Linked DNA regions of Saccharomyces cerevisiae S288C. Each later gene encodes a partner of the first gene's protein in a complex. Each region holds a gene or a part of one and is shown on either strand. Other genes may lie near its edges. A codon is read from its position in the direction of its gene.

Region 1 (3,753 bases):
AGGCAAGCTTCTTCGTAAATCTAAAGTCTGCCGGAGTTAAAGGTTTCATTATGCCAGAACAACGTGACACTGCGACACGAATACCAGTTAGCATGTTATAAGCTATAATAAAGTTGACATGGCCTTCACTGACTTTATTACCGATCAAAACACGATCGTCATCCACCAAAAATGTTTTTCTTTTCCTTTTCATTTCTCTTTTATGCAGCAAAGATTGTCTCATCTTCTTAATTTCTGCCGTTGCAGACTCTGATCTTTTCAGACCCGTAGCAGCGGTAGTAGTAGTAGTATTATTATTAACAGCAGCAGCATTAGCAGCGTGATTATGGTTGGTGCCACGACTGTGTTGATAGTAGTGGTCATTCTCTGGCGGCAAAGAAGTGGTTGATTTGGATATCATATGATATTGCTTTGACTTTTGAGAAGGTTGTGGAAGTGGGTGAAGAGGCAAAGAAGTCATTGAGTGACTAATTTTAGTAGCAGAATTTGGTTTCATGCTGGTATCTCCATTGGCCAATTTTATTACATCTGAATCATCCATAGGTAGAATTTGAGAATGCTTGGAAGCGTGAAAGGGAATATTGGGCAGGTTTGAATCCTGAGTATTTCTTCTTTGCTTAATTGTCGTGGAAGTTGCTGTTACTGCCGATATTCTGGAAGATCGCCTCGAAACGCGCTTGTTTAGTAAAATATGATCGTCATTTAAGTCTTGTATATACGAATCTGTGTGAACAAGACTGGAATTGTCCAAATCCAAACAATTATTCGAGTTTAACGAGGGTGTTGTTATTTTCTTCGACTCCTTACCTTCGGGAAAACTATATTTCTGCATTTCCTTGTTACTAGTGCTATTTGGTCGGGGAGAAGTTATGGTGTTTGGATGATCATCATCCGTATTATTATTGCTGTTGTCATGCAAAGGATCAATTGATATTGAGTAGTTTCTCTTCACCAGCCTCGAATTATTTATTGTTGGGTTTAACTCTTCAATAGAGGTCGGAGTGGAAGACTCACCATCTGACAAGCGAGGACTTTCCATGTTTGACTCCGAATTCGATGAAGAATGGTAGCTAGTGTGATTATTGCGATCCTTTTTTATTCGATGGTTCGAATCCGGATTCGAATTCGAATTCGGCACCGAACGGTCTTGATGTCGCTCAATTATTGCAGAGTGCAATAGCGATGGTTCCTGTTCTGTTTTGCGACTGGTGGATGTTGTCAGATGTAGCGGTACAACTGAAGGAGGTTGTGATCGCAAGACTGACATGAGTTAGAAACTATTGATAGGGAAAAGCGATATAGGGCAACTGTCTCGGGGGGTGTAAACAGGTTTCGTACTCTCTTGCTTATGAATGTGCTACTTCTTGTTCCTATTTTTTGTTTCTGTCCTTGTTTTTTCTTTGCTTGTCCCTCCGTATTTGCTTCTTTGTTGTCACGCTTTTGTTATTTCCACCTCTATCTTTCCTCTCTGTCCCATTCCCCATCCATTCCTTTCTTTTTTTTTTTAACCTGTGTTTTGTTTTCCCAGAATGGGCGGCACGTTCTTATGTCCGTAAAAACGGATATACAAAAGCGACACGTCGTCTGAGGTGACACTCCACTCAACCCCACTTGCCCAAAACATGCATTGCTACAAGTAGTAGAGCGCAGTTTTTAAAGTCCATTGGTTGCACACGAAATCACGAGAATAATCACGAGAATAGAATGCACGTTGGATTTCGGGCATCCTATAATTGCCAAGACTGCGCTACTTCTCTTCTGTTTCGGTCCGGGTGACACGTCCGCCGTGCTTCAAGGCGCCTTTTCACCAATGCCAGGCGGAAACTGCCGCCGTCAAAAAGAAAAATGAAAAGAACATAGAGGACAAGGACAAGAGACCAGTGATCGTAAGAAGCGCCCACCTTCGCACAGCGCACAGGAACTAGGACACTACCGCACTCAAACCATTTGCATGGACCTTAACTCACGATGCTAGACAAGGCGCGCTCTCAAAGCAAACACATGGACGAATCTAATGCGGCTGCCTCTCTGCTTTCGATGGAAACAACCGCCAACAATCATCACTATTTGCACAATAAAACATCTCGTGCCACGCTGATGAATAGCAGCCAAGACGGCAAAAAACATGCAGAAGATGAAGTTAGTGATGGAGCTAACTCCCGCCATCCTACAATTTCCAGTGCTAGCATCGAATCTCTCAAGACAACCTACGATGAAAACCCTTTGCTTTCTATTATGAAATCGACATGTGCGCCCAACAACACTCCCGTGCATACTCCGTCTGGTTCGCCGAGTTTGAAAGTCCAAAGTGGCGGAGATATCAAAGACGATCCTAAGGAAAACGATACTACTACTACGACCAATACTACACTTCAAGATCGCCGTGACAGCGATAACGCTGTGCATGCTGCCGCCAGCCCACTCGCGCCTTCCAATACACCTTCGGATCCTAAGTCATTGTGCAATGGCCATGTCGCACAGGCTACAGACCCACAAATTTCCGGTGCTATTCAGCCGCAGTATACTGCAACCAACGAGGATGTTTTCCCTTACTCCTCCACCTCCACTAATAGTAACACTGCCACTACTACTATCGTCGCCGGCGCCAAAAAAAAAATACATTTGCCGCCACCACAAGCTCCAGCGGTTTCTTCCCCCGGTACCACCGCAGCAGGCTCGGGCGCGGGCACGGGCTCGGGCATCCGTTCCCGCACAGGATCGGATTTGCCGCTCATCATTACCAGCGCCAACAAGAACAACGGTAAGACTACCAATTCGCCTATGTCGATACTGAGCAGAAACAACAGTACCAACAACAACGACAATAATTCGATACAAAGCTCAGATTCGAGAGAATCCTCTAATAACAATGAGATTGGCGGGTATTTGCGCGGCGGAACTAAGCGCGGCGGCAGTCCATCTAACGACTCTCAGGTCCAGCATAATGTGCATGATGACCAATGTGCCGTGGGCGTGGCGCCCAGGAACTTCTATTTCAACAAGGATAGAGAGATAACAGACCCAAATGTAAAACTGGACGAGAACGAATCAAAAATCAACATATCGTTCTGGCTAAATTCGAAATACAGAGATGAGGCTTATTCTTTGAATGAATCATCCTCCAACAATGCTAGTTCAAACACGGATACGCCTACAAACTCTCGACATGCGAACACCAGCTCTTCCATTACCAGCAGAAACAATTTCCAGCATTTTAGGTTCAACCAAATACCTTCTCAACCTCCAACTTCCGCATCTTCGTTTACAAGCACAAACAACAACAACCCTCAACGGAACAATATCAATCGCGGTGAAGACCCGTTTGCCACTTCGTCAAGACCTTCTACTGGGTTTTTTTACGGCGATTTGCCGAATCGTAACAATAGAAATAGTCCCTTCCATACAAATGAACAATACATCCCACCACCTCCACCGAAATACATCAATTCTAAATTGGATGGATTGAGATCAAGATTATTGCTCGGTCCGAATTCTGCATCTTCATCTACCAAACTAGACGACGACTTGGGTACAGCAGCAGCAGTGCTATCAAACATGAGATCATCCCCATATAGAACTCATGATAAACCCATTTCCAATGTCAATGACATGAATAACACAAATGCGCTCGGTGTGCCGGCTAGTAGGCCTCATTCGTCATCTTTTCCATCAAAGGGTGTCTTAAGACCAATTCTGTTACGTATCCATAATTCCGAACAACAACCCATTTTCGAAAGCAACAATTCTACAGCT
Region 2 (3,753 bases), on another chromosome or scaffold:
ATCCCTTGATGTACCATATTTGGCCCGTGTTGAACGATCGATGGTAAGGGCATGAAGTGGGGTGGTTGCATGTGCTGTTGATCCTGATAGGCTTCATGTACGGTCGAACCGTTTGTTGGAGGCGAGAAGCTTCCTATAGGAGGCAAGTTTTGCTGTGGAATACCTCGGTTAGAAGGATGGCCGTAATAGCCCGAAGCTGGATACAAGAATTGCTGTTGCTGCTTCTGTTGTTCCACCTGTGCCTGTGCCTGAGCCTGAGCTTGTGCCTGTGCATGCATTTGGGCCTCATGTTGTTGTTGAGCATGTTGCTGAGCATGTTGCACCTGCTGATTGGCAGAAGCTGAAGAGTCCGGCAAGAATTTCTTGAAATCTTCTAGTAAATCAGGAGCATTTTGGAAAAGATGCGTCACTTGTGCGTAGACTTCGTTTATTGGCTTTTGCTCTCGCTGATAAGTTTGTAGTATTTCCAGAAAATGCTTGTAAATATCAGGTTGGTCGGCAAATCTAGTTTTAATTTTATTAACGTAGCTTATGGCTTGACTAAATTCGACATCAACGTTTTTCTTAGCATCTTCTTGAGGCACTAAAGATTGACTTTGTGGGATTTGGCGATGTGCAGGCATTTCAGGTTGTTGAATTGAAGGTAAACCAGAAGAAGTAGCTAAAAGAGGCAAAGATTGTTGTTGGTCTTGGTTTTGTTCCGATTGATACACACTCGAAGGCACCATTGGCACATTGGAGGGCTGTTGAACACCATTTCCATCGCTTTCTGGAAAAGAACCAAGTTCCTGTGCATCCGTTGTACCTCTACCAGATGGACTGATGTTATTGTTTACTGTCGTAGTACCCATTGGTGTAGTAACTCTAATGGGGTCGTCCGGATTAGAGGAGCATTCGATTCTATAGCCTTGGGGTAGAAAAGTATTGAACCCTTGAATCAAAATTGGATAACCTCTGAACAAAGTGGATACTCTTTCAATAACGCCCGGTGTGTCTATTGCCTGAGATTTAAAGTCCTTCATAATATCTAAAAATAAATTATAGATATCCGGACGCGAACTAAATTGAAATTTGACCTGTTCGAGGTAAGATAGGGCATCCTTCACGTTTAGAGGTCTGTAGTCAGCATCTTCATCGTGAGAATTTTCGTTGTTATTATTGTCATCGTTAGCATCTGCATGGTTGCTGCTAGGGTCAGGGGCATCAGCAGGCTGCACACCAGCGGGAACTTCCTTGCAATCTTGAGGCCGTTGCGTCGCCTTTTCTTCTTCCTGAAGACCATTATAACTTTTTGGTTCCTCTGTATGAACAGGAGCTTTTATCGGTAATGGATTGTCAAATCTCGACAAAGAAAAACTGGCGGCTCCCACTGTGGGGAGGGGAGCTGGACCAGCATTCATAAGCGAAGCGTTTATAGAGGGAGAAGAGGACGAAGATTTAGGGCGAGGGTGATACTCGTGGGGCTGTTTCAATGCTGAATCAGTTGCAATTGAGGGCATAGCATTTGAATGTGGGGGAGGATAACCTAATATGTGAGCAGCATGAGAAGTTAGAGCCTGTTGGCCATTGGAATCTCTTCTATCTTCCTCCTTAGTACTCAAGGCAGATAGCGAGGGTAAAGTAATCCGTTGCTGCTGTTGAACAAAACCGGGCTTATTTCCCTGGAGGGACGGTTCTTTTTCGTTTCTTTCGTTGGAACCCGTAGCGTCATTTGAAGTAGCCACATCGTTTGATTGCGAATTCGAATTATGCCAAACCTGTGACATTTTTGTACAATGTATAACTTGTTTCTTAGATATTTTGTCCTTTTCCAAATAACCTCAAACGAACACAACAAAAGGGTAAAGAGACTATACTGAAAGCGGTCAATAGCGTAGCCTGTTGTGGAGGGAGGGAAGTAACAAAGAATATGTGGTACGTGAATGAGCTGATTAGTTAGGTACGGTGCCTCGAATATTAGCAATGCTGGTGCGAAAAAGGGAAGACAAATGTAATAGGGAAGGGGAGTAACCGTTGTTTTGCAAATCACGTTTGCTGAAGAACTGCAAAATGAAGGCGACTTTTTTGCGAATGGAAAAAAATCACTAGAAAATCCGATATCATTACCCGTACTGGTTTATTCTACGTTACACGGGTAACCCCGCAGTGTGTGCCACACTCTGGGCAGCGCGTAACAACAGTAGTTACAAGACTGGAGTAGAAGATAGATTTTTTAAATTATAAACAGAATTTACAGACTACTGGAGAGGGATCACGGTAAGCCTCGTCGGTAAGCCTCGTCGGTAAGCCTCGTCGGTAGATCCGTGTCATGTCATGGATAATGCTGCTATCCGAGTTCAAAAAACTTGCAAGCTCAATATTATCATTACCCGGACTTAATAAAGTGGAAGTGTCCGCGAAAATTCTAGGTTCACTGCTTTGGCACACACAAGAGGTCCGTTAAAAGAAGAGCGAGAGAACTGAGCCGTGCAGCCTAAATAGATAGCTACGTAGCCACCAAACCAGATACATTTGGACACAACTGCATCATGAATGCTCCAGACAGATTCGAACTGTTCCTTCTGGGTGAAGGGGAATCCAAGCTAAAGATTGACCCCGACACCAAAGCCCCCAACGCAGTAGTGATAACGTTTGAGAAGGAGGACCACACGTTGGGAAACCTGATTCGTGCAGAACTTCTGAACGACAGAAAAGTGCTGTTTGCCGCTTACAAGGTTGAGCATCCCTTCTTCGCTCGTTTCAAGCTGAGAATACAGACCACCGAGGGCTACGACCCGAAGGATGCCTTGAAAAACGCCTGTAACAGCATCATTAACAAGCTTGGCGCCCTGAAGACAAATTTCGAAACCGAGTGGAACCTGCAAACTCTAGCCGCCGACGACGCATTTTGATATATAGGAGTTTAATACTATAGCCATAAAATCTAAACAGAATGGAAACGGACATACACATAATATACGCTCATATATATTTATACATAACTTCAATGTCTTGAACACGTAAATTTTAGTGTGAGAAACCTTTTTCACTCCGGGTAATACCTGCTGTAGTCTTCAAAAAAAAAAAAAAAAAAGAAAAAAAACCAGCCATGGAAAGCTCTTTATTTTTTTACTTTACGGCTTTTTTCCCTTTTCTTATATGATCGATGCACGTAAAGAACAACTGTATTTTTTTGTTTCAACACTAACACGAGCGCAATATTCTTTTTTGTTTTCTCTGTTACTCTAATTACCTGAGTCCTATTCTTATAGTATTAAAACAGCAAATAAAAAAAATCTAAAGGGAGGGCAGAGCTCGAAACTTGAAACGCGTAAAAATGACTATTGCTGATGCTTCCAAAGTTAATCATGAGTTGTCTTCTGATGACGATGACGATGTGCCATTATCTCAAACTTTAAAAAAAAGAAAGGTGGCGTCCATGAACTCTGCCTCTCTTCAAGACGAAGCGGAACCTTATGATAGTGATGAGGCAATCTCTAAGATTTCCAAGAAAAAGACTAAGAAAATAAAGACCGAACCAGTGCAATCGTCGTCATTACCATCGCCTCCAGCAAAGAAAAGCGCGACATCAAAGCCTAAAAAAATCAAGAAAGAAGATGGTGATGTAAAGGTAAAAACAACTAAAAAGGAAGAACAGGAGAACGAAAAAAAGAAACGAGAAGAAGAAGAAGAGGAGGACAAGAAAGCGAAGGAGGAGGAGGAAGAATATAAATGGTGGGAAAAAGAAAACGAAGATGACACCATAAAATGGGT

The links. Proteins that work in one complex are often made in the same cells at the same time.
Region 2: the proteins of UME6 (region 1) and SIN3 are in contact, whole or in part, in a crystal structure (PDB 6XAW), measured with the Saccharomyces cerevisiae proteins. Residues at the interface, in NP_010493.1 of Saccharomyces cerevisiae: Asp519 (codon at 3,523), Leu520 (codon at 3,526), Gly521 (codon at 3,529), Thr522 (codon at 3,532), Ala523 (codon at 3,535), Ala524 (codon at 3,538), Ala525 (codon at 3,541), Val526 (codon at 3,544), Leu527 (codon at 3,547), Ser528 (codon at 3,550), Met530 (codon at 3,556), Arg531 (codon at 3,559); in NP_014639.1 of Saccharomyces cerevisiae: Glu407 (codon at 548), Phe408 (codon at 545), Ala411 (codon at 536), Ile412 (codon at 533), Tyr414 (codon at 527), Val415 (codon at 524), Asn416 (codon at 521), Lys419 (codon at 512), Tyr429 (codon at 482), Leu433 (codon at 470), Leu436 (codon at 461), Gln437 (codon at 458), Tyr439 (codon at 452), Gln440 (codon at 449), Ile446 (codon at 431), Val449 (codon at 422), Phe467 (codon at 368), Lys469 (codon at 362), Phe470 (codon at 359), Leu471 (codon at 356), Pro472 (codon at 353), Asp473 (codon at 350).

The regions. Positions count from the first base shown.
Region 1 is NC_001136.10:865,738-869,490, reverse strand, and holds the start of UME6 (DNA-binding transcriptional regulator UME6), read left to right. Parts: upstream 1-1,968; coding exon 1,969-3,753. Other genes in the region: MSS4 (1-phosphatidylinositol-4-phosphate 5-kinase), read right to left, coding at 1-1,267. UniProt on the Saccharomyces cerevisiae protein: Component of the RPD3C(L) histone deacetylase complex (HDAC) responsible for the deacetylation of lysine residues on the N-terminal part of the core histones (H2A, H2B, H3 and H4).
Region 2 is NC_001147.6:314,951-318,703, reverse strand, and holds the start of SIN3 (transcriptional regulator SIN3), read right to left. Parts: upstream 1,767-3,753; coding exon 1-1,766. Other genes in the region: DNA-directed RNA polymerase II core subunit RPB11, read left to right, coding at 2,529-2,891; TOP1 (DNA topoisomerase 1), read left to right, coding at 3,317-3,753. UniProt on the Saccharomyces cerevisiae protein: Catalytic component of the RPD3 histone deacetylase complexes RPD3C(L) and RPD3C(S) responsible for the deacetylation of lysine residues on the N-terminal part of the core histones (H2A, H2B, H3 and H4).